3 linked regions of the Struthio camelus genome follow. The protein of the gene in region 2 binds, or shares a complex with, the protein of the main gene of each other region. Links are inferred from orthologs where the notes say so. Each region holds a gene or a part of one and is shown on either strand. Other genes may lie near its edges.

Evidence for each region.
Region 1: PPP4R4 (region 2) and PPP4R2 share a complex: the UniProt entries of both Homo sapiens proteins name them as parts of the PP4 complex. The link is inferred for Struthio camelus from reciprocal best matches to the Homo sapiens genes PPP4R4 and PPP4R2.
Region 3: PPP4R4 (region 2) and PPP4C share a complex: the UniProt entries of both Homo sapiens proteins name them as parts of the PP4 complex. The link is inferred for Struthio camelus from reciprocal best matches to the Homo sapiens genes PPP4R4 and PPP4C.

The regions. Positions count from the first base shown.
Region 1 is NC_090955.1:5,358,769-5,366,346, forward strand, and holds the start of PPP4R2 (serine/threonine-protein phosphatase 4 regulatory subunit 2), read right to left. Parts: upstream 3,005-7,578; 5' UTR 2,839-3,004; coding exon 2,805-2,838; intron 2,142-2,804; coding exon 2,060-2,141; intron 1-2,059. UniProt on the Homo sapiens protein: Regulatory subunit of serine/threonine-protein phosphatase 4 (PP4). May regulate the activity of PPP4C at centrosomal microtubule organizing centers.
Region 2 is NC_090946.1:66,790,431-66,797,902, forward strand, and holds the start of PPP4R4 (serine/threonine-protein phosphatase 4 regulatory subunit 4), read left to right. Parts: upstream 1-4,458; 5' UTR 4,459-4,978; coding exon 4,979-5,095; intron 5,096-5,591; coding exon 5,592-5,665; intron 5,666-6,970; exon of another isoform or gene 6,971-7,046; intron 7,047-7,472. UniProt on the Homo sapiens protein: Putative regulatory subunit of serine/threonine-protein phosphatase 4.
Region 3 is NC_090973.1:990,540-998,062, forward strand, and holds the start of PPP4C (serine/threonine-protein phosphatase 4 catalytic subunit), read left to right. Parts: upstream 1-4,519; 5' UTR 4,520-4,572; intron 4,573-7,400; exon of another isoform or gene 7,401-7,408; 5' UTR 7,409-7,412; coding exon 7,413-7,510; intron 7,511-7,523. Other genes in the region: ALDOA (fructose-bisphosphate aldolase A), read left to right, coding at 1,660-1,755. UniProt on the Homo sapiens protein: Protein phosphatase that is involved in many processes such as microtubule organization at centrosomes, maturation of spliceosomal snRNPs, apoptosis, DNA repair, tumor necrosis factor (TNF)-alpha signaling, activation of c-Jun N-terminal kinase MAPK8, regulation of histone acetylation, DNA damage checkpoint signaling, NF-kappa-B activation and cell migration.

The DNA of each region.
Region 1 (7,578 bases), on a different chromosome or scaffold from region 2:
ACCATTTGTGTAATTACTCCTGACTTAACCATCCAGTTTTTCAAACTGAAACCTGAAATTCATAAAAATACTAATAAATGTCACTGCAAACTATTATTTTGGATTGTCTTGGAACTAGAGGATGAAATCTATGTCTTACTGTTCTGGATTTCTTTTAAGTAAAAGGTTTTTTTACATGAAAGGAAATAAAGAACGTTTAGCTCAGTGTGAATCAACACGCATCTGACAAGTTTGTGTACTCAGGTACACTTTTAAAATATCAGTGTTACAGTAGTCTAGCCTGTATTCTAAAAACATACATTAAATTCTTATAAATACATATTCCCTGTTATGAATGCCCACCAGGACATTTTGCTATCAATTTCCTCCTGATATTTTTATATATAACATATTAATGAAAATATCACTATATCAGATGAAGAAATATAGACTCTGATGGATAACGGGAAGCAAATAAAGTGGTACTGAGCAGTATTTCCATGTCTGTCTCCAGATGATATTGGATACTTCGGATGTCTGAAGTGTGTCTGACACTTTTAAAAAAACAATTTAGTGCAACTGCAAGGTCCAAGAATGTTGAAAAAAGCTATAGAGCTTTAAAAAAAAAAAAAAAAAACCCTGAATACATACAAGGCCAGGGCCTGCATGAAGTTCCAGATGATAGATTTGAGTTCCGGATTAAGCAATAGTTTGCAATAATCAAATAAACTCTTGTTCTTGTTTACATTTGGAAAATCTAGATTTTTTTTTTTTTAAATTCAGAACATATAATAACTATACTCTCAAGTTTTACCTCAGGAAGAATTTTCTTAAGAAATCACCCCTATACAATTGCTTTTAAAAATTGCTTTGGAATATATGTAACAGTGGCATAAACAAGAAAAAAAAGCCTTAAGAAACATTTCAGAACAGGAAGAATATTTTAAACACACTACACAAACAAAACCACTACCTTAGGCCCATACTAAAATGAGTGTTATTCTAGAATATTAAGCATTACAGCTGTATATTTTTCTGCTGAGCCAAAGCCTTCCATTCAAAGGGCAAAGTACATTTCAGAACTTGTTTTTCTTTCAAAACTATTAATTTAAATAGTACTAGCAAGCTATTAAAAAAAAAAAAGAAAAAGGTAAAGACACCTCTTACGAGTGAGAGGGATTCTAGAAATCAGAACAAAGCCCCTGCAAATCACTAGTTGCTAATAAAGCACCGGTAAAAGCATGTATCGCTAAAGCCTGTGTAGTCTGGCGCTAGGCCTCAAAAACAAGGAGACAGCCTGAGTGCCAGAAAGTGAGCCACCTGCAGCATGGCACCCATGGAAGCCTTTCCCCTTCCTGCCAAATAGTGCTCAAGCAGGAAGTCACCCCCAGCAGCACCGGCCTCATCCTTGACAAGGAGCGCGGTAACCCCGCTCCCCACAGCGCCCGCGGGCCCAAATCCCACTGGCCCTCCACAAAAGGAAGCCCAGGAAAAGTGAAACAGAAGCACTTTGGGGCCAGCTGAAAAAACACGAGAGACCACTGAAAGGCAGGGTAACAAGTTTGCCCCTGCGCCTCTCTGCAGAGAGCTCCTGGGTGGTTCTCCCCTCCTCCTGGAAAGCATCTAGACGCAATCATCGCACAGCAAGTTACACAAAGCCTGGAAAATTTGATCTGAACCATTCGTATCCCTGTGTAAACAATACTACTGCGTACAACGGACATTGCAACAACGCGCTAAACTTTCAGTTTAAAAAACCTGAATGTCACGTAAAACGCAGAAAAAGCAACAGGTTTACTGTATGGAGCAGCATCAATAAAACCTGAGAGATAAGCCTGAGCAAAGTCTATACAAAAAAAAAAAGCTATCTGTGCTCTCTGTTAGAAAAAAACTAATTCTATCCTCAAATGAAACTAATCATTCAAAGTTACACTGAGAACTACAGCAAGCTTATTTAGCTCATGGAATCATTCTACAGATCCAAAAAAAAAAAAAAAAAAAAGGTATCATCTCATTCACTTAAAACGTGGGAAACTTTATAAGCTACAACTGAAGATCAACCAAGAAGTCACACACTTACATGGTCTCTCCGGTCTTAGCAACATGACAAAGAAACTGATCCAGTATTGGACACACTTCCTTCTTTCCTCTCTTCTCAAAATCTGTTGGTACGAGGAAGAACACGAAAGCAATAGGAAAAGAAGAGAGGACAGGACAAAAATTCGTAACAATTAGGCATCGATTTGCTTCAACTATCCGCACAGCTCCCCCCTTCCCCCCACCCCCCCAAAAAAAGACATTTCCACACTTCCTCAGTTTGTTCCCAAGAGCTCCCCCAGCCCTCCAACCCTGCAAAACACTTGATACTTCTCGTGTGAAGAAAACTACACACATCCCAGGGGCAAAAAGTTGATTTGTAACTTCTTTTGAGCAGCTACCGGGGGGGGGGAGGGTGGAGAGAGAGAGAAAGAGAGAGCGAGAGAGGCCGATTTCCTCAGGCTGCGTCCAGCCAGACGAGCTGCCACAGGACCGGGCCGGGGGGGGAGTCCGTGCGCCTGGCCGAGGGAAGCGGCAGCGCAGGCCGGCCCCGACCCCGGCCCCGGCCCGGGGGCAGCGGCGAGGACGGCCCGGGGCCGGAGCGGAGGGACCGGCGGCCGCCACCCCCCCCCAACCCCCCCGGTGGCTGTCGGGGCGCTGGGGCCAGGCCTCGGCTTCCCCCTCCCCCACCGCCCCCACAGAGACCCCCCCCCGCGCCCGCCTCAGCGTGAGGGGACACAGCTCCCCCCCCCCCCCCGCCACCGCCGCTTTCCCCCGCCCGGCGCCACCTTTCAGAGCCTCCTGCAGCCGCTCGACGTCCATGATCCGCCCGGGCGTCCCCCCGCGCCCCCCCCCTCCCCAGCCCGCGCAGCACACGGGCTCCGGCCGCCGCGCACACACAGACACACACACAGACAGACAGACAGACGCGGGGCTCAGCAACCCTCCAACATGGCGCCCGGGCCGTCCCCGTGCGCGGCCCCGACGGCCCTCCCCCTCTCCCGCCGGGGGGGCGGGGCGGGGCGGCGGTGGCGCGCGGGGGGCGGGGCCGCCGCCGCGCGCGGGGCGGGGCGGGGCGGAGTGGAGGGGCGGCGGTTGCGGCCGCCTCAGGCGGGGCGGGGGTGGCCCTGCCGCGCTGCTGTCCTGCTCGAGGCGGCTCCCGCCCTCCCGCCTCTGCCCACGCACAGCCGCGACACGAGAGGCGCCTCCTAACCAGGCGGCTCCTCCCCGCCCCCAGTACTGACCGCGTAGGACGCTCCCTTCTTCTCACCACACCTAAAAACGTGGTGGAGAAGTCGGGGCAGTCGGTCCCTTCTGGAGAAGGTCTCTAAAAACACAGTGGTGAAGGCCAGGCACTCAGTCCCTTCTGGAGAAGGTCCCTAAAAACGTGGTGAAGCCCAGGCACTCGGTCCCTTCTGGAAAAGGTCCCTAAAAAAGTGGTGGTGAAGGCCAGGCAGTCACTCCCTTCTGGAAAAGGTCCCTAAAAACGCGGTGGTGAAGGCCAGGCAGTCGCTCCCTTCTGGAGATGGTCCCTAAAAACGCGGTGGTGAAGGCCAGGCAGTCGCTCCCTTCTGGAGATGGTCCCTAAAAACACGGTGGTGAAGCCCGAGCAGTCAGTCCCTTCTGGAAAAGGTCCCTAAAAACGTGGTGGTGAAGGCCAGGCAGTCGCTCCCTTCTGGAGATGGTCCCTAAAAACACGGTGGTGAAGGCCGGACACTCAGTCCCTTCTGGAAAAGGTCCCTAAAAACGTGGTGGTGAAGGCCAGGCACTCAGTCCCTTCTGGAAAAGGTCCCTAAAAACGTGGTGGTGAAGGCCAGGCACTCAGTCCCTTCTGGAAAAGGTCCCTAAAAACGTGGTGGTGAAGGCCAGGCACTCGGTCCCTTCTGGAAAAGGTCCCTAAAAATGTGGTGGTGAAGGCCAGACAGTCGGTCCCTTGTGGAGAAGGTCCCTAAAAACACGGTGGTGAAGGCCGAGCAGTCAGTCCCTTCTGGAGAAGGTCCCTAAAAACGTGGTGAAGCCCAGGCACTTGGTCCCTTCTGGAAAAGGTCCCTAAAAACGTGGTGGTGAAGGCCAGGCAGTCGCTCCTTCTGGAAAAGGCTCCGAATGAGCAAGGAGGGGATCGGGGCAGAGTCCAGGCTGAAGCGGCGGTGGCCGGGGTCCGGGCGAGGGGGAGACGCCTGTCGGCTGGTTTTAGCCAGCCATTGGCATATGGACTCGCCTGCTGTGGACACTTCTGCAAAAAAAAATGGAAATGCTTGTTAAAAAAAAAAAAGAGAGAGAGAGAGATGTTGTGAAAAAGGTAGCCAAATATCGATGCCAACTGTTACTCTAGGCATGTGTGAGCCGGCGCATCTGCTGTAATTTACTATTAGGTACAATCCTGATATAGACCTGGAGGGTGGCCCAGGCGCCTCTGGAGGCCTCATGCGCATGCTGACGGCCCTCCTGCCCCGCGCACGGCGAAGCAGGTCCCGTCCCCACCACTCTTGGCCTGCCCTGTGAGTCCCGGATCTATCGTACCGTTTCAGAGCAGTCCCTAAAAAGATAATAATGCCTGTGGCTGAACTGACTTTTCTGCTCTCCCAGGTCGATAACGTACCAGAGAACCTCTGATACAGCTCCGTTTCTTACAACTGCTGCTAACATCATAGCTGAATGATCAGGTTTGAGGACCACCATAAATGGCTAAAAGACAACCTTGGTACCTATGGCAAGCACATCCTTGCTGAAAGATATTTTCTCTGGTTCCTTGTGTTGATTGTATCATGTAGGAATATCCAGGCTGTGGAATTAACAGTCTGTGTTGGCATTTTCATCATATAGGAACCCTAACTTTCATCTGGCTTCTGGAATCAAGACCTGTATGGTCTAGACCTTCTAGATGACCCTCAGGGTCTCTGACCTTAGAACTATACAATACTAACAGGAATATCTAAGGTTTCATATTTACAGATGAGCAGTACAAATCCCTTGTTCTATACTGTTCTGTGAAAAACCTTCCTTAACAACAAATCTTTGTAAAAGCTGCAATAGGGCACAGAAATGCTGAGTAGAGAGGGCAGTGAATGAACCTCTGTGGTCCCCTCTCCCTTCATCTGATCAAAAGGTGAAGGGAAAAAGGGAAGCAGCAGTCGACCAAGCCAACCACATGGGACGGGCCCTGCTGTTTAAGGTACCTGTCAGGGCCAAACATGCACCATGCCTTGCTCTCATCTCCTAATAAAAGAGGAAGAGTGGCACTTAAGACTGTTGAGACAATTTGTTATAGGATGCCATTTTAAGAGATTAAACTGTTGCAGATCAGGTCCAATACAAAATAAGGGAGGTAGAAACTGAGCTCAAGGTGACTGAAGCTTGTGCTATGCTATGACAGGGAGTTTAGGGAAAGTGTCTCTCATAAACTTCAAAAATAGTTTAGAGCAGATAGAGGTACTTCAGATTTAATACTTTGGGGCTCTCTCTGACTAAGTATGAATAGCTGAAAGTTGTTGAAAGTCTAGCTCCAAGTGCTGCTACTTCTAAATGCTTTACAAAGGCATCGTCTATTTTGTGCCATGGATCAATTCTCAGCTTTTTATAAAGGAAAATCACATTCCCTACTGGACATGAAAAATCCCAACAATACTTAGGACTTGGCACTTTTACCTTCTTGTACATTTCTCTTGCGTTAGGGATTCCCTTGCCTCGGGCCAGCATCACTAGCCCTATTAAGCACACAAAGAACCACAGAGACAAAGACAGGACTTGCCCCAACCCGTGGGGGAAAAAAAAATCAGCGCATGAGGTGGAATTAATAAAACCTTAATGAATTTAGCTACCATTTTCTTCTGATCACTTTGTTCATCATAAAAACATGCTGAAAGAATGAGTAACAGCAGAGCTAAGGCATATATTCTTAAGAGAAATGAATACTGAATTGTTTTCTCTGAAGTTAGCCAAGGGCACTGTTAACAATTTGTATTAGTAGCTCTCCTGCCCTTGCAGCTCTGCTACCATGACTTTCCCCATCTCATGCCCTCTGTAGTATGTTTACCCTTCTAGGATTAGAAATCTCTACAAACCGAAACTAAATTAGTTTGCTTGGACAATAATCTACTCTCTACGGTATTAATGTCCTCCCCCAAAACATCAGTGGGTACTCATGGCAAGCAAGTGAAAAAATCTCTTCAACAAGAAAGGAACTGCATTGAGAAAAGACTTGACAGAGGACAGGGGAAGGTTTCAAAGCAAACAGTGGATATGGAAATGAAAACAGAAGTGCTGAGGCCTGTAAGCAGATGCACTGGCAATAGAAAAGGAACATACAATTCAGATTACAGGTTAGCCTATGTTCTTTTCCTTGGGATCCACTTTATTATTACAAAAGAGGTATAAAAGTCCAGTTAAAGTAACAAAAAACTAGCTTACCTTTTTAACCTTCAGCAAAACAGAACAGTGGAGAACATAGGGCACAGGTTCTCTTAAATCATGTCTATATCCTAGCAGACTACATTTACCCCCAGATACCATATCGGCTCTCATCCACAGCACAGCTTGTTCTTTATAATAATTCTCAAAGGTGGTCACATGCCCTCAATTTTCAGCTCTTCCTGAGGAACTGCATTTCCCAGCATGACTGCTGTTAAAGAATCCCAACAGCCAAAACAAGCCTAGAAGAGGCATAAACATACATTTTAAAGTCTAGTACAGTTAGACAACCCACTTAAAAACCCCTATGAGAGCAAATTCAATCTTCCTAAACAACATCCCATTCCATTTGGAGGTATCACCAAGAACACAATAAAGACCATAATTACCGTCAATTTGAAAAGCTGTGCTGCTAGCCTGTTCTGCTAAAACAGAAAAAAAATTAAAAGCGTTCCCAAGACACCTAGAATTAATATTGAAAACTGGGACAACATAGCATTTCTTCAGTTAAAAAGCTAGTTGCAGGGAATAAAAAGGAATATGTTTTTTTCTAAATTCCTCTACTACATTCTGTACAGAAATATAGAACTAATTCAACAGCTTGTAATAGAACATAACACACTCATATAACCTTTTAATTAAGTACTTTAGAGCCACTTCTTTGCACTCAGAAAGTAGCAAGTGAGGTTTGAGTCTACAGCTGTATCATGTGGTAGGTACGCTTGGAGCCCTATTACCTTTTGTACCTTTGTTATTTGCAAGTTATAAATCTAATTGGCACTGCTCTGTAACACGGATGCTGCTCTGAGGATAGGTAATGCCATTAGGAGCCACAGATGCTCAGATCTTGTTTCTAGAAACAAGGTGTAAGTTAATATCATAATTTCTGCAGGATTTAGCTGGTAGAGGAAGACCACCTCTCATTTCCTTCCAATCCTTTTATTTCCTAGTTTGAGAAAAGTGGACTTACATCTTTTGAAGTGTAGCACTTATCACATTTGTAGTATATTAAATAAATTACTACAGTGATACACTGGGAATGGCATTGCAGGAAGATCTTTATTTCAAAATGCGGTAGAATTCACAAGTAAACAAACCATATACTAACATTGACTTTTCATTGTTAGCAGCTTGTCTGATTCCTTCCATTTGGTC
Region 2 (7,472 bases):
GGACTTTGAGGACTGGAATAATGGGATGAAATTTACTCATACAAAGTGCAGGACCATTCAGTGAAGGCTAATACTGAGAATTTAGACTCTAAGACAGGAGTTAATTAGTTTTAGACGACTGTGGAAGAGAACGACCTCTTGTATCAATTGATCACAAGGTAACTGTGAGCTGCCAATGCAGTATATTTGGTAAGCTATCTCTTGAAGATATTCATTCTCCATAAAAGGCATTACTTCCCTGAAGCTGCTGTCTACAATACTATATAAAATTCTGGTCACCTTAATTCAAGACAGGTGAAGTCAAACTGCAGCAGGTGGGAAGAGGCCAATCAGGATGACCAGGAGAACTGAGAGCCTGTTTTATGAGAGAAGACTAAATGTTGAGCTTAGCTTGTTTAGCCCAGGATTAGAGGAGATATGATTGTGATCTTTAAATAGCAGGAAAGGAAGAATGCTTTAAAGTAAAGTACAATGCTGGTACATGAAGAAAGTAGGTAAACTGGCCAACAGTAATTTTAGGTAGAAAATCTGAAGTTTCTATAGCAACCAATGAGTAAAGAATACTGGAAGGCAAAAACTGGTTAGTTTTAATATCAGGTTTGTCTTGTTTATGACAGACTGCTCACTGTTGTCATAGCAAGGAACTGGAGTCATTGGCTACCTTTGTATTAGGAATAGAAACCGTGTGCTGGTCTTTGGCTCTGAGGCAAGCTGGCTTGACCGTGTTCACAGCAGTAAACTCCCTTAACCTCCCACACAGGGCACTCGTATCCTTGCTGCCTGCCGAGAATGGTCTGGGCTGGTGCTAACTCCTGACCTGAACGAAGGGACTGTTTGGGGGAATTCGTGCTGGCCTTGGGGACCGTTCTGGCAATGTAAGCAGTACGGAAGGCTGAGCTCCAGCCCCTGGGCCTAGGCCCAATATTGTTTAATTTATGTAATTGGTTCCAGAGATTTCTTCAGCTCCCTGCTCCTTTTTAAGGGTTGAAAAAATTCCCCGTAAAATATTGTCTAGACCTCTGTACTTACATACTGACGTCACTGAGATTTTTGCCATTGTCGATCTGCTTTCTAAAATGTAAATAAATACTGTTTTATGTGGATACTTCAAAAGTTAGTAAATCTGGGCAAAAGATGTGTATTTTTAAAAAATAGAAAAAAAATCACTTAAACTTCATAAAGCAATGTGCTATTAGATCCTACTCCGGATCAGATATTCACAAATAGCTAGAAGGTATGAGGAAAATAGCAATACATATTTACTCTGTTGTTATTTTGTCTTCCTGCATGTGTTATTAACTGCTTTTGGAGACAGGACAGCAGATTAGACATGGCAGGAGAGCTAGCTTTTCTTAGAAAGAATAGAGAATGCAGTCACCGTAATCTTATACATGTCATATTGCCTAAAAAAGGATATCTTTTGTGTACATATAAAATAACCTTAAAACCTTTTTGTTTCTTAGATCTTAATGGAGAGTATTAAGTTATAGGAAAGCATTGGGAGAACGGTTCACAGGTGATGAAAGCACAATGAGTACAATCCTGTGTTTTTCCATATACCCTTTTTAATTATATAGCTGTTACAATCAGTTGACAGAAGTGGCAAAAGAGCAATCAGAAATTTTTTGCAAATGACACTAGGACAATGCAGCAACAGTTTCTTAGCAACAAACTGGAAAATATGCTAAATAATGTTTTTATCTGACTGAGATTTGTATATACTACGTTTCAAGAATTGTTCCAAAGTAGACAGATTTTTCTGTGTGGTTCTTTTAGACTAATGTACTTACAGGTTTGCCTCCACTTGGAGTTTTGTTTGTTTTTGTTTGTTTGTTTGTTTTTTGAAGAGTAGCTTTTCGTGGACACATTCTTCCTTGGGGTAAGAATAAAATAAGAAATCTTGTTTTGGAATATCTTAATCCGAAAAATGTTTTTAACATTTATTAAATAAGCAGTAACAAAGCATTCACCTGTGAATCTAGACTTTTATATTCAAACAAGCTCTTGTCCATTTCGTTTTCTTGATGCTGTACTTCCACATCAGGAACTTTATCTAGATTGTGAACTGAAAAACATATCTGAGTCATGTTTCCAGTGAAGTGAAAGTACTGTGGTCATTAATAGAAGGAGGAGATAGTGGTTTAAATATGAAGCCAGGAATTGAGGGGAGAAATGTAAGCTTAAGGCATTAGATGGAATATCAAAGCTGCATTTTTGAAGGGTTTGGTGGACTGCAGTAAAGAGCCATCTTGGTGGTGAACAGACTGAAATGAAATTTCTGCACACTCAATTTAGGTGCTGAGTCCTGGCAGAACTGTGATTATGCAGTGCATGAATTACATAGTGTACAGCTGGAGAAGGCATGTCCTTCTGTATCTTCCACACTAGGTCTTTCATATCGCAACTGATTTAGGCATTGCAACACATTCTGAGACTTGCTAAATTTTCAACTTCTCTGTGAATAATCTGATTTATAGGTTAATTCTCTGGGAACGTATAACAGGTAAAGTAAGAATCACAAGCTTTTCAGAGCAATTTTGAAAATGGAGACACCTAACTGCTGGGTAACAAAGCTCTAACTGCAAAGGTTAAAAAAAAGAAGGTGAAGAGTGGAAATGAGTCTTCATTGTAGAGTCACTGCCAAGTATGTCAAAAGATTTTTTTTTAACTTGGGATTAATTTAAAAGCATTCATCAGGGGAGGTACCTGCTTTGGACTTTTCATTAAAATCAGAAAGGCTTATAAAACAGAAGATTTCTTGTGAGTAATTCCGTTTTGCAAGAGTCCTGGTAGTGGACTAGGACACAGTGAAGGTGTCCTAGCACACCTGACCCAGAAGGGAGGGGACACTACTCAAGGCAAGGGTGTTGCAGCAGGGGAAGTGGAGCAATGTGGAGGCTGTGGCAGTGGAAGGGCAGCTCCACAGGGGCCGTGGCAGTGGAAGGGGATCCCTGTGGCAGCCGTGGCAGTGGAAGGAGATCCCTGTGAAGGCCGTGGCGGTGCAAGGGCAGCTCCACAGGGGCCGTGGCAGTGGAAGGGGATCCCTGTGGCAGCCGTGGCAGTGGAAGGGCAGCTCCACAGGGGCCGTGGCAGTGGATCCCTGCGGCAGCCATGGCAGTGGAAGGGCAGCTCCACAGGGGCCGTGGCAGTGGAAGGGGATCCCTGCGGCAGCCGTGGCAGTGGAAGGGCAGCTCCACAGGGGCCGTGGCAGTGGATCCCTGCAGCAGCCGTGGCAGTGGAAGGGCAGCTCCACAGGGGCCGTGGCAGTGGATCCCTGCAGCAGCCGTGGCAGTGGAAGGGCAGCTCCACAGGGGCCGTGGCAGTGGAAGGGGATCCCTGCGGCAGCCGTGGCAGGGGAAGGGCAGCTCCACAGGGGCCGTGGCAGTGGAAGGGGATCCCTGTGGAGGCCGTGGCAGTGGAAGGGCAGCTCCACAGGGGCCGTGGCAGTGGATCCCTGCAGCAGCCATGGCAGTGGAAGGGCAGCTCCACAGGGGCCGTGGCAGTGGAAGGGGATCCCTGTGGAGGCCGTGGCAGGGGAAGGGCAGCTCCACAGGGGCCGTGGCAGTGGAAGGGGATCCCTGTGGAGGCCGTGGCAGTGGAAGGGCAGCTCCACAGGGGCCGTGGCAGTGGATCCCTGCAGCAGCCATGGCAGTGGAAGGGCAGCTCCACAGGGGCCGTGGCAGTGGAAGGGCAGCTCCACAGGGGCTGTGGCAGTGGAAGGGGAGACCCCTCCACTGTGTGTGGCGGTGGAAGGGGAAGCAGTGGAGCGGGGCCGGCTGCGCCGGGCGAGGCCCCGGCAGTAGGACGCATCCCCCGGCGGGTGGCGGGGGTGGGGGGGTTGGGCTGTGCCGGGAGCCCGGACGGGGGTCGTACACGCGGGAGCGGATCCCCGCACAGAAGGGCCTGCGGGCAGAGGTGACGGCGCAGAGCGCCCTGGCGCGTGTCCGACCCCACGCCCGTGTGCGTCCCCGCGCGGCGCGGCACAGCAGGCAGAAGGGCGGCGGGAGGCGACGGCGGCGCGAGACGGTTAACGGCCGGGGGGGGGAGGGGGGAAGGGGGGCGTGCCCCGGCCCTCGCGAGGAGCGGCCGCGCCCGCGCCCCCAGCGCGTTCGGCTATTACCGCGCTCGGGAAGCTCTTTTGCCCCGCCGAGGCCGCTGTAGCGCCGCGTTGCCCCGGCGACCGGCTCGGCGGTGGCAGGGCGGCCCCAGTGGCGGCGGCTGGGAGGCGGCTCCGCGGGGCTGGCGTCGCGCGGGGGGCGCTGAGGCGCCGGAGCCGGGGGCCGTCCCGGCGCGGACGCCGCGGCAGTCGCTCCCTGCCGTCGTCGGCGGCGGCGGGGTGGGGGGGACAGCTGCGCTGAAGGAGTGGGCCGGGGCCGGGGCCGGGGGAGGGGAGCGACACTGCACCACGGCGGCCGTCCCTCCCCCCGGGGCGGGGAGGGCAGGGGCGGCCCCCCGGGAGGCTGCTGGGCCGGGGCGCTGCGCGGCCGGCCGGGGCTGCTCCTTCAGCCGGTGCCTTCAGTGAGGAGAGCGGGGCGAGCCTGTCGCCCGCAGCCTGCGCTGGAGGAAGGGACTCGGCTGTCTGCTGCCCCCCGCCTTGCCTTCCCCGCGGGCCCTGAAGCGGCCTGGCCCCTCGCCCCCCTCGGCGAACACGGGCAGTCCGCGACGAGAGGAAAGTTGGCTCCAAACTCTCCCTCCGCTTCCTCGCCCCGGGATAACAGCGAGCCGCTGCCTGCCCGCCCCCGGGGGGAGCGGAGCGGAGCGGCCGGAGAAAGTTTGGCGGCGGGGGGCTGTGGCGGAGGCGGGCGGCAGCGGTGCCGCAGTGTGTGCGCTGAGGCGGCGGGGCTCGGCGGCTGCCGGCGGCGGGAGGCAGGCGCTGCTCGCAGACTTGGAGGGGGTGTTGCGTGGTGTCAGTCGTTTCTCCTCCAGTGCGATGTGAGACTCGGAGAGAGCATCGGTTGCCAAAGGCTCTGGTTGTTACATGCATCCAATAATCTTCTTCTCCAAAATGGATTTTACTCAGAGCAATTTATTTGGATACATAGAAGACCTGCAGGAGCTAACTATTATAGAAAGGCCAGTACGCAGGAGCCTGAAGGTATCTACTTCAAAATTGAATGATGCTTTAAAATCCATTTGAAATTTTTGCTGCTTGTATTTATGCACTGCCAGCTGACCAGGCAGTTTATTTTTACAGCACCAGAACATTAAAGCTTGTTTTCAGTTATGCTGGAATATACAATCTTGACTTCAGTATAGCCAGGAGTTAATATTTTCAGTGTAAGGGTGTTAAGCTGGAAAAAATGGACTAACATAAGCCTTTAATTTATATGTGACGTGTTTATGCTGTGTTTTAAATGATTAATAATGAGAGTATCTGACATGAAACTGTACTTTTATTATATCCCATCTCTTCCTGGTGAAAGATTTATTTGACTGAATTTGAAATAATTGGCTAGAGATTTCAGGGGTTAAATTCAAATTACTCATGTAACTATCCTTGAACATGGGGAGGAAGGGTTTGTTTTAAGAAGACTAAAACAAAGAAATAGTATGGCATTGTAAATTCATAATCTCTATTTCACACTTGACAGACACCAGAAGAAATAGAAAGATTGACAGTTGATGAAGAACTCAATGATATTGAAAGGGCTGTTTATCTACTCAGGTATTTCCTAAAGTATTATTGTGAAACACTGCTGACCATCATGTTGACATACAGTTTTTTGTGCTCTTTCTCCTTAGTCCTTTTATTTTCTATCTTTACATAGTAGTTGTTTTATACTTTTGGCTACATTAGGTATATAGGCAAGATTAAAATAGACACTGTCATTTTGTTAAACTTGGATGGAATAGGATGCCTGTGTGGACGTACGGATATTTCTTTGCCGAGTTTCTAATATGGCCCTCAGCAATAATGAGTTGTACTTCGTCTTCTTTTTCTCTGCAATTGGTTTTGCAAGATTCCCTGAGTCAAGTTGACATTAATAAGAGCAATCATTCGGTGACTTCATAGTCACTCTAGGGCATGGGCAGTTACCACGGACTGATAGCAGAGCTGTCTGAACATATTGTATACGTTTGCGCTATCAGAAGAGAAGACTTAAAGATTAGTTTCATAGTCTTTAGGAAATACTGCAGAATACATTATTTTAATATTAATCAATGTTCTGTTTTTTCATTTTATCTTCCTCTTTAAAGTACTTGAATAGCTTAAATTTTGATGGATTCAAACACAAATCTCTTTCAACTCTGCTGCAAAAGTAATCTCTGAGAGTAGGAATGTTCTGAGGCATTTTGATTTGAATATGCGTTTTAAACAATACTTAGTAATTGGAGAACCAGCTGCAGCTCCTTCGCAGTTTGCTTATTCTGCTATTTTAAGTGCTCTTACAGCCTATGCCTGTCCTCAATTTAAAAATATATTTTTTCAATGCCTTAATTTTCTCTTTTTGGGTATGTGGTGTTACTTTTAGGTAAACATTTTTGTCCACTAGTAGTATTTTGATACTGAATTTTTTGTGTTTTTTCATGCTAATTTTTTTTCTTCATTAAGTAATGGAGTTTAAAACTTCCGCTACTGCGGATAGATACTACAGATAGTAATCAAAGTAGTCTTTTGGCTCTAGGGTAATCTAGAGAAACCAATGTCGTTGCATATCATTTTAGGTTTTTTTATCTCACAGCGATCAGCATGGTCATCTTTTTTTTTTTCTCCTTCATGTGAAGCAGCAGATCTCTTGCTCCTTTCCTGATTAAAGATAGTGTTTCCAACAATAGGTCGTTACTGCATCATTGCGTGGTTAAAGGGTAAAAGGTTTGACTTCATATTTTTTATCTTACTAATTACTTTTCAACTTGGCCTTGAACTCTTCTTGACATCCTCGTCTACTTTCTCTCTACCTGAACAGCTGTTCTGGGGGACATAATATTCACTTCCTTGTGATGAAGTTTTTATTTTGCTTCTTTGTAGTCCTCATTGCTGAAAGGTAGCTTCATCTCTGCTTGAAAAGCTTTTTGCAAGGCAATTATTTGCTGTGATTATCCAGGTATGTTTATACATTAATCCAGTGGAAGCTTTTGCTGTTCAGTAGTGCATTGCCTTGCTTGCACTGAGTGGAGTGTAAGCAAACAGAGCTGAAAAGCTGTCTGTAACACAAGTAGTATCCTTTATACAATGCGTAAAAGCATATATCATTGTCTTTTCCAGTATTTTTATGAATTAGAATACAACACACCTACTTTTTCCTGTTTGATGGTAATGTCATGGTCTTTTCATGCCTCGTTTTCTCCCACAGGAGAAAGGCATTACTTGCCTTCTTTCAACTTGTCCCTTATGTGGAACTCTCCTTGACGTTATCCCATATGACACTACCTTTTCTGAATATCCCACTATAAAATTTGCTTTAGTGAAATTGAAATGAATCGTCAATGATGGCTGTGTTCTGTTCAATTTCGAGATGGTGATGCTATAC
Region 3 (7,523 bases), on a different chromosome or scaffold from region 2:
GGACGGGGGTCGTGGTGGGACGTGGGGACGGAGGTCCTGGTGGGAGGTGGGGACGGGGGTGCTGGTGGGACGTGGGGACATTGGGACAGGGGTCGTGGTGGGGCATGAGGACATGGGGACGGGGGTGCTGGTGGAACGTGAGGACGTGGGTGCTGGTGGGACATGGTGACATGGGGATGTGCGTCGTGGTGGGACGTGAGGACATGGGGATGTGGATTGTGGTGGGACGTGGGGACGGGGGTGCTGGTGGGACGTGGGGACGGGGGTGCTGGTGGGACGTGGGGACATGGAGATGGAGGTCCTGGTGGGACGTGGGGACGTGGGGATGGGGGTCGTGGTGGGACGTGGGGACATGGAGATGGAGGTCCTGGTGGGACGTGGTGACGTGGTGACGGGGGTCATGGTGGGACATGAGGACGTGGAGACGGAGGTCCTGGTGGGACGTGGGGACGGGGGTCGTGGTGGGACATGAGGACGTGGAGATGGAGGTCCTGGTGGGAGGTGGGGACGGGGGTCATGGTGGGACATGAGGACGTGGAGATGGAGGTCCTGGTGGGAGGTGGGGACGGGGGTCGTGGTGGGACATGAGGACGTGGAGATGGAGGTCCTGGTGGGAGGTGGGGACGTGGAGATGGAGGTCCTGGTGGGATGTGGGGACGTGGTGACGGGGGTCGTGGTGGGACATGAGGACGTGGAGATGAAGGTCCTGGTGGGACGTGGGGACGTGGAGATGGAGGTCCTGGTGGGACGTGGTGACGTGGTGATGGGGGTTGTGGTGGGACATGAGAACATGGAGATGGAGGTCCTGGTGGGAGGTGGTGACGGGGGTCGTGGTGGGACATGAGGACATGGAGATGGAGGTCCTGGTGGGACGTGGGGACGTGGAGATGGAGGTCCTGGTGGGACGTGGTGACGGGGGTCATGGTGGGACATGAGGACGTGGAGACGGAGGTCCTGGTGGGACGGGGGGACGGGGGTCGTGGTGGGACATGAGGACGTGGAGATGGAGGTCCTGGTGGGACGTGGGGACGGGGGTCGTGGTGGGACACGAGGACGTGGAGATGGAGGTCCTGGTGGGACGTGGGGACGGGGGTTGTGGTGGGACGTGGGGGCATGGAGATGAAGGTCCTGGTGGGACATAAGGACATGGGGACGTGGGTCGTGGTGGGACATGGGGACATGGGGACGTGGTGACGGGGGTCGTGGTGGGACATGAGGACGTGGAGATGAAGGTCCTGGTGGGACATGAGAACATGGGGACGTGGGTCGTGGTGGGACATGGGGATGTGGGTCCTGGTGGGACATGGGGACATGGGGACGGGGGTCGTGGTGGGACACGAGGACGTGGAGATGGAGGTCCTGGTGGGACGTGGTGATGTGGTGATGGGGGTTGTGGTGGGACATGAGAACGTGGAGATGGAGGTCCTGGTGGGACGTGGTGACGTGGTGATGGGGGTTGTGGTGGGACGTGAGGACGTGGAGATGGAGGTCCTGGTGGGACGTGGTGACGTGGTGATGGGGGTTGTGGTGGGACATGAGAACGTGGAGATGGAGGTCCTGGTGGGACGTGGTGACATGGGGACGGGGGTCCTGGTGGGACGGGGGGACGGGGGGAGCGCGGGCGTCCGCGGCGTGACGCGCGGCTCCCTGCGCCCGCAGGCCAACTCGCTGGCGTGCCAGGGCAAGTACGCGCCCAGCGGGCCGGCGGGGGCCGCCGCCAGCGAGTCCCTCTTCATCTCCAACCACGCCTACTGAGGGGCCCCGGCGTCCGGGGCCGCCCCGCCCCCCCCCCGCCGCCGCCGCCTCTCCCGCTCCGGCAATAAACGGCATCTGCCTCCGCACCCGCGTCTTGGGGGGCCCGGGCGGCCGGGGGAGGGGACCCAGGTGTCCGGGGAGGGGCCCAGGTGTCCGGGGAGGGGCCCAGGTGTCCGGGAGGGGCCCAGGTGTCCCGGAGGGAACCAAGCGTCTGTAATGGGCCCAGGTGTCCGGGGAGCGGCCCAGGCGTCCTGGAGGGACCCAGGTGTCCAGGAAGGGGCCCAGGCGTCCTGGAGGGACCCAGGTGTCCAGGGAGGGGGCCCAGGAGTCCAGGGAGGGGCCCAGGCATCCGGGGAGGGACCCAGGTGTCCAGGGAGGGGCCCTGGCGTCCGGGAGGGAACCAAGTGTCTGTAATGGGCCCAGCTGTCCGGGGAGGGACCCAGCTGTCCGGGGAGGGACCCAGGCGTCTGAGAGGGGCCCAGGCATCCGGGAAGGGCCCAGGTGTCCTGGAAGGACCCAGGCGTCTGGGGAGGGGGCCCAGGAGTCCAGGGAAGGGCAGAGATGTCCGGAGAGGGGCCCAGGCGTCCCGGAGGGAACCAAGCGTCTGTAATGGGCCCAGGCATCTGGGAGGGACCCAGGTGTCCGGGGGAGGGGCCCAGGCGTCTGGGAGGGGCCCAGGCGTCCTGGAGGGACCCAGGTGTCCAGGAAGGGGCCCAGGCGTCCTGGAGGGACCCAGGCGTCCTGGAGGGACCCAGGAGTCCAGGGAGGGGCCCAGGCATCCGGGGAGGGACCCAGGTGTCCAGGGAGGGGCCCTGGCGTCCCGGAGGGAACCAAGTGTCTGTAATGGGCCCAGGTGTCCGGGGGGACCCAGGTGTCCGGGGAGGGGCCCAGGTGTCCGGGGAGGGGCCCAGGCGTCTGAGAGGGGCCCAGGCGTCCGGGAAGGGCCCAGGTGTCCGGGGGAGGGGGCCCAGGCGTCCGGGGACGGGGGCCCAAGCGTCCGGGAAGGACCAGGGCATCCGGGGAGGGCCCAGGTGTCCGGGAGGGCCCAGGCGTCCGGGGAGGAGGCCCAGGAGTCTGGGAAGGACCAGGGCATCCGGGAAGGGGCCCAGGTGTCCCGGAGGGAAGCAAGCGTCTGTAATGGGCCCAGGTGTCCGGGGAAGGGGCCCAGGTGTCCGGGGAGGGGCCCAGGTGTCCGGGAGGGGCCCAGGTGTCCGGGAGGGAACCAAGCGTCTGTAATGGGCCCAGGTGTCCGGGGAGCGGCCCAGGCGTCCTGGAGGGACCCAGGTGTCCAGGAAGGGGCCCAGGCGTCCTGGAGGGACCCAGGTGTCCAGGGAGGGGGCCCAGGAGTCCAGGGAGGGGCCCAGGCATCCGGGGAGGGACCCAGGCATCCGGGGAGGGGCCCTGGCGTCCCGGAGGGAACCAAGTGTCTGTAATGGGCCCAGGTGTCCGGGGAGGGACCCAGCTGTCCGGGGAGGGGCCCAGGGGTCCGGGGAGGGGCCCAGGCATCCGGGGAGGGACCCAGGCGTCTGAGAGGGGCCCAGGCATCCGGGAAGGGCCCAGGTGTCCTGGAAGGACCCAGGCGTCTGGGGAGGGGGCCCAGGAGTCCGGGGAAGGGCAGAGATGTCCGGAGAGGGGCCCAGGCGTCCCAGAGGGAACCAAGCGTCTGTAATGGGCCCAGGTGTCCGGGGAGGGACCCAGGTGTCCGGGGAGGGGCCCAGGCGTCTGGGGAAGGGCCCAGGGAAGGGCCGAGGTGTCTGGGGAGGGACCTAGGTGTCTGGGAGGGGCCCTGGCATCCGGGAGGGACCCAGGCGGCTGGGAGGGCCCAGGCATCCGGGGAGGGGTCCAGGTGTCTGGGAGGGGCCCAGGCGTCCGGGAGGGGCCCAGGTGTCCGGGCAGGAAGGGGCCCAGGAGTCCAGGAGGGCCCAGGTGTTCGGGAGGGCCTAGGTGTCCAGGAAGGGGCCCAGGCGTCCGGGGAGGGACCGAGGTGTCTGGGGAGGGCCCAGGCATCCGGGGAGGGGCCCAGGCGTCCGGGAAGGACCCAGGTGTCCTGACAAGGACCCAGGAGTCCGGGGAGGGGCCCAGGTGTCCGGGAGGGGCCCAGGCGTCCGGGGGGACCCAGGTGTCCGGGGAGGGACCCAGGCATCTGGGGAGGGACCCAGGAGTTCGGGAGGGGCCCAGGCATCCGGGAGGGGCCCAGGAGTCCAGGGAAGGACCCAGGCATCTGGGAGGGACCCAGGTGTCTGGGAGGGGCCCAGGTGTCCAGGAGGGGCCCAGGCGTCCGGGAGGGGCCCAGGCATCCAGGGAGGGGCCCAGGCATCCAGGGAGGGGCCCAGGAGTCCAGGGAAGGACCCAGGTGTCCGGGAGGGGCCCAGGCATCTGGGAGGGACCCAGGTGTCCGGGAGGGGCCCAGGCATCTGGGAGGGACCCAGGCGTCCGGGGAGGGGCCCAGGCGTCCGGGGAGGGGCCCAGGAGTCCGGGAGGGGCCCAGGAGTCCGGGGAAGGACCCAGGTGTCCGGGAAGGACCCAGGAGTCCGGGAGGGACCCAGGAGTCCGGGGAAGGACCCAGGCGTCCGGGGAGGGGCCCAGGCGTCCGGGGAGGGGCCCAGGCGTCCGGGGAGGGGCCCAGGTGTCCTGGAGGGCCCAGGCGCCCTGGGGAAGGGCCCAGGCGTCCGGGGAGCCCCCGGCGAGCTCTCCCCGCCCACTGGCTCGCGCCCCGTGACGTCACGCCCTGCGGGGCGGCCCTCCCGCACGTCACTTCCGTCCCGCCGGTGGGCGGGGCCGGGGCCGGAAGTGACGCGCGGCGGCGGCGGCGGCCGGGTGCGACCCGCGGCGGGTTCGGGGGTCGCCGGGGGGGTTCGGGGGGGGCCGGTTGGGGGCCGGTTGGTTTTTGGGGGCGGCTGGGGGGTTCTAGGGGCGGTGTGGGGGGGTTGGGGGGGTAGTTGGGGTGTTGCGGGGGCGGTTTGGGGGGGGTTGGGGGCAGGTTGGGGGGTTTTGGGGGTGTTTTGGGGGTGTTTGGGGGCAGTTTGGGGGTTTTGGGGGTGTTTGGGGGCAGTTGGGGGGTAGTTGGGGTGTTGCGGGGGCGGTTTGGGGGGTTTTGGGTACAGGTGGAGGGGGTTGGGGGCGGTTTGGGGGTGTTTGGGGGCAGGTTGGGGGGTTTCGGGGGTGTTTGGGGGCAGTTGGGGGTTTGGGGGCAGTTTGGGGGGTAGTTGGGGGTAGTTGGGGTGTTGGGGCAGTTTGAGGGGGTTGGGGGCGGTTTCGGGGTGTTTGGGGACAGGTTGGGTGTTTTGGGGCAGTTCGGGGGTAGTTGGGGTGTTGGGGCGGTTAGGGGGGTTGTTTGGGGGCAGGTTGGGGGGTTTCGGGGGTGTTTGGGGGCAGTTTGGGGGTAGTTGGGGTGTTGCGGGGGCGGTTTGGGGGGTTTTGGGTACAGGTGGAGGGGGTTGGGGGCGGTTTGGGGGTGTTTGGGGGCAGGTTGGGGGGTTTTGGGGGTGTTTGGGGGCAGTTGGGGGGTTTTGGGGGTGTTTGGGTGCAGTTGGGGGTTTGGGGGCAGTTTGGGGGGCAGCTGGGGGTAGTTGGGGTGTTGTGGGGGCAGTTTGAGGGGGTTGGGGGTGGTTTCGGGGTGTTTGGGGACAGGTTGGGTGTTTTGGGGCAGTTCGGGGGTAGTTGGGGTGTTGGGGCGGTTTGGGGGGTTGTTTGGGGGCAGGTTGGGGGGTTTTGGGGGTCTTTGGGGGTAGTTGGGGTATTGGGGCAGTTTGAGGGGTTTTGGGGACAGTTTGAGGGGGTTGGGGGTGTTTGGGGGCAGGTTGGGGGTTTTGGGGGGCAGTTGGGGGTAGTTGGGGTGTTGTGGGGGTAGTTTGAGGGGGTTGGGAGCGGTTTGGGGACAGTTTGGAGGTTTTGGGGGTCTTTGGGGGCAGTTTGGGGGTAGTTGGGGTGTTGTGGGGGCAGTTTGAGGGGGTTAGGAGCAGTTTGGGGGTGTTTGGGGACAGGTTGGGGGTTTGGGGGTCTTTTGGGACAGTTTGGGGGCAGTTTGGGTTTTGGGGACAGTTTGAGGGGTTTGGGGGCAGGTTTGGGGTAGTTGGGGTGTTGTGGGGGCAGTTTGGGGGGTTTGGGGACAGTTTGGGGGGTGTTTGGGGGTGGTTTTGGGGGTCTTTGGGGGCAGTTGGGGTTTTGGGGCAGTTTGGGGGAGTTTGGGACATTTTGGAGGGTCTTTGGGGGCAGTTTGGGGGGCAGTTTGGGGGTAGATGGGGTGTTGGGACGGTTTGGGGGGGTTGGGGGTGGTTTTGGGGGTGTTGGAGGGTCTTTGGGGGTAGTTTGGAGGGTTTGGGGGCAGTTTGGGGGTAGTTGGGGTGTTGTGGGGGCAGTTTGGGGGCTTTGGTGACAGTTTGAGGGGGTGGGAGCAGTTTGGGGGGTGTTTGGGGGCGGTTTTGGGGGTCTTTGGAGGCGGTTGAGGTTTTGGGGCAGTTTGGGGGTTTTGGGACAGTTTGGGGGGGTTTGGAGGCTGTTGGCGTAGGTGACAGTTTGGGGGCAGTTTGGGGACAGCTGGGGGGATATTTGGGGGCAGTTTGAGGGATTTTGGGGGCCACTTGCGGTTTGGGGGCAGTTTGGGGCAGTTTGAGGGGTTTCGGGGGGCGGTTTGAGGGGTTTGGGGAGACTTGAAGGGATTCAGGGGCTGTTGGGGGAGTTTGGGGGAGCCGGAGGGATTTCGGGGGCAGTTGGGAGGGTTTTGGCTCCGTTGGCGAGGGGGGTGGGCAGGTTTGGGGGGGACGTTTTGGATTTGGGGGGCAATTGAGGGGATTTAGGGGACAGTTGGGGGGAGTTGGGGGGGCAATGGGGGCCCGTTGGGATGTTTTGCAGAGCGCTGGCGCGATTTGGGGTCAGGCTGGGGGTTTTTTTTGGGAGCGGTGGGGGGGGGTCACTTTGGGGGTCTTTAGGGGCACTTGGGGATTTTTGGGTCACTTTGGGGGTCGTCGGGGGGTCGGGGGGGCCGTTGGGGCCTTGGGGGGGGCATTTGGGGGTCGTCGGGGGGTTGGGGGGGCCGTTGGGGCCTTGGGGGGGCATTTGGGGGTCGTCGGGGGGTTGGGGGGGCCGTTGGGGCCTGGGGGGGCATTTGGGGGGTGCAAGCGGAGTTGGGGGGGTCTGGGGGCAATTGAAGGCAACGGAGGGGCAGTTCAGGGGGGGCTGGGGGGGGCTTTTGGGGGGGTGGAGGGCAACTGAGGGGTCCGGGGAGCGATTAGGGGCTCGGGGGGGGTAATTAGGGGCTGTTGGGGGCACTTGGGGGTGTCGGGGGCAGTTAGGGGCTTGAGGGGGGGCTGTTAGGGGCATTTGGGGGGCAATTGGGGGTGCTGGGGGGCAGTTAGGGCATTGGGGGGGCTATTGAGCAGGTAGGGAGTCGGGGGGCAATTAGGGGTGGGGGGCAACGAGGAGGGGGGCTGTGGTGTCCGGGGGGGGCAATTAGGGGTTGTGGGGGGGGTTAATTAGCCCTGATGGGGGGGGCAATTACCGTCCCCCCCCCAAGTGGCCATTTCACGTCACCTGGGATTGACGAGCCAGCACCGATGGGGGGGGGACGAGCCTAGCTGCCGTTGGGGAAAAGGGGGCAAAATTAAGTCATGGGGGTAATTAGGGGGGGCTAATTAACAGTTAATTAGGGGGGCAGGGCCATGGGGGAGCCGAGCGACCTGGACCGGCAGATCGAGCAGCTGCGGCGCTGCGAGCTCATCAAGGAGAGCGAGGTGAAGGCCCTCTGCGCCAAGGCCAGGTACCCCGGGGGG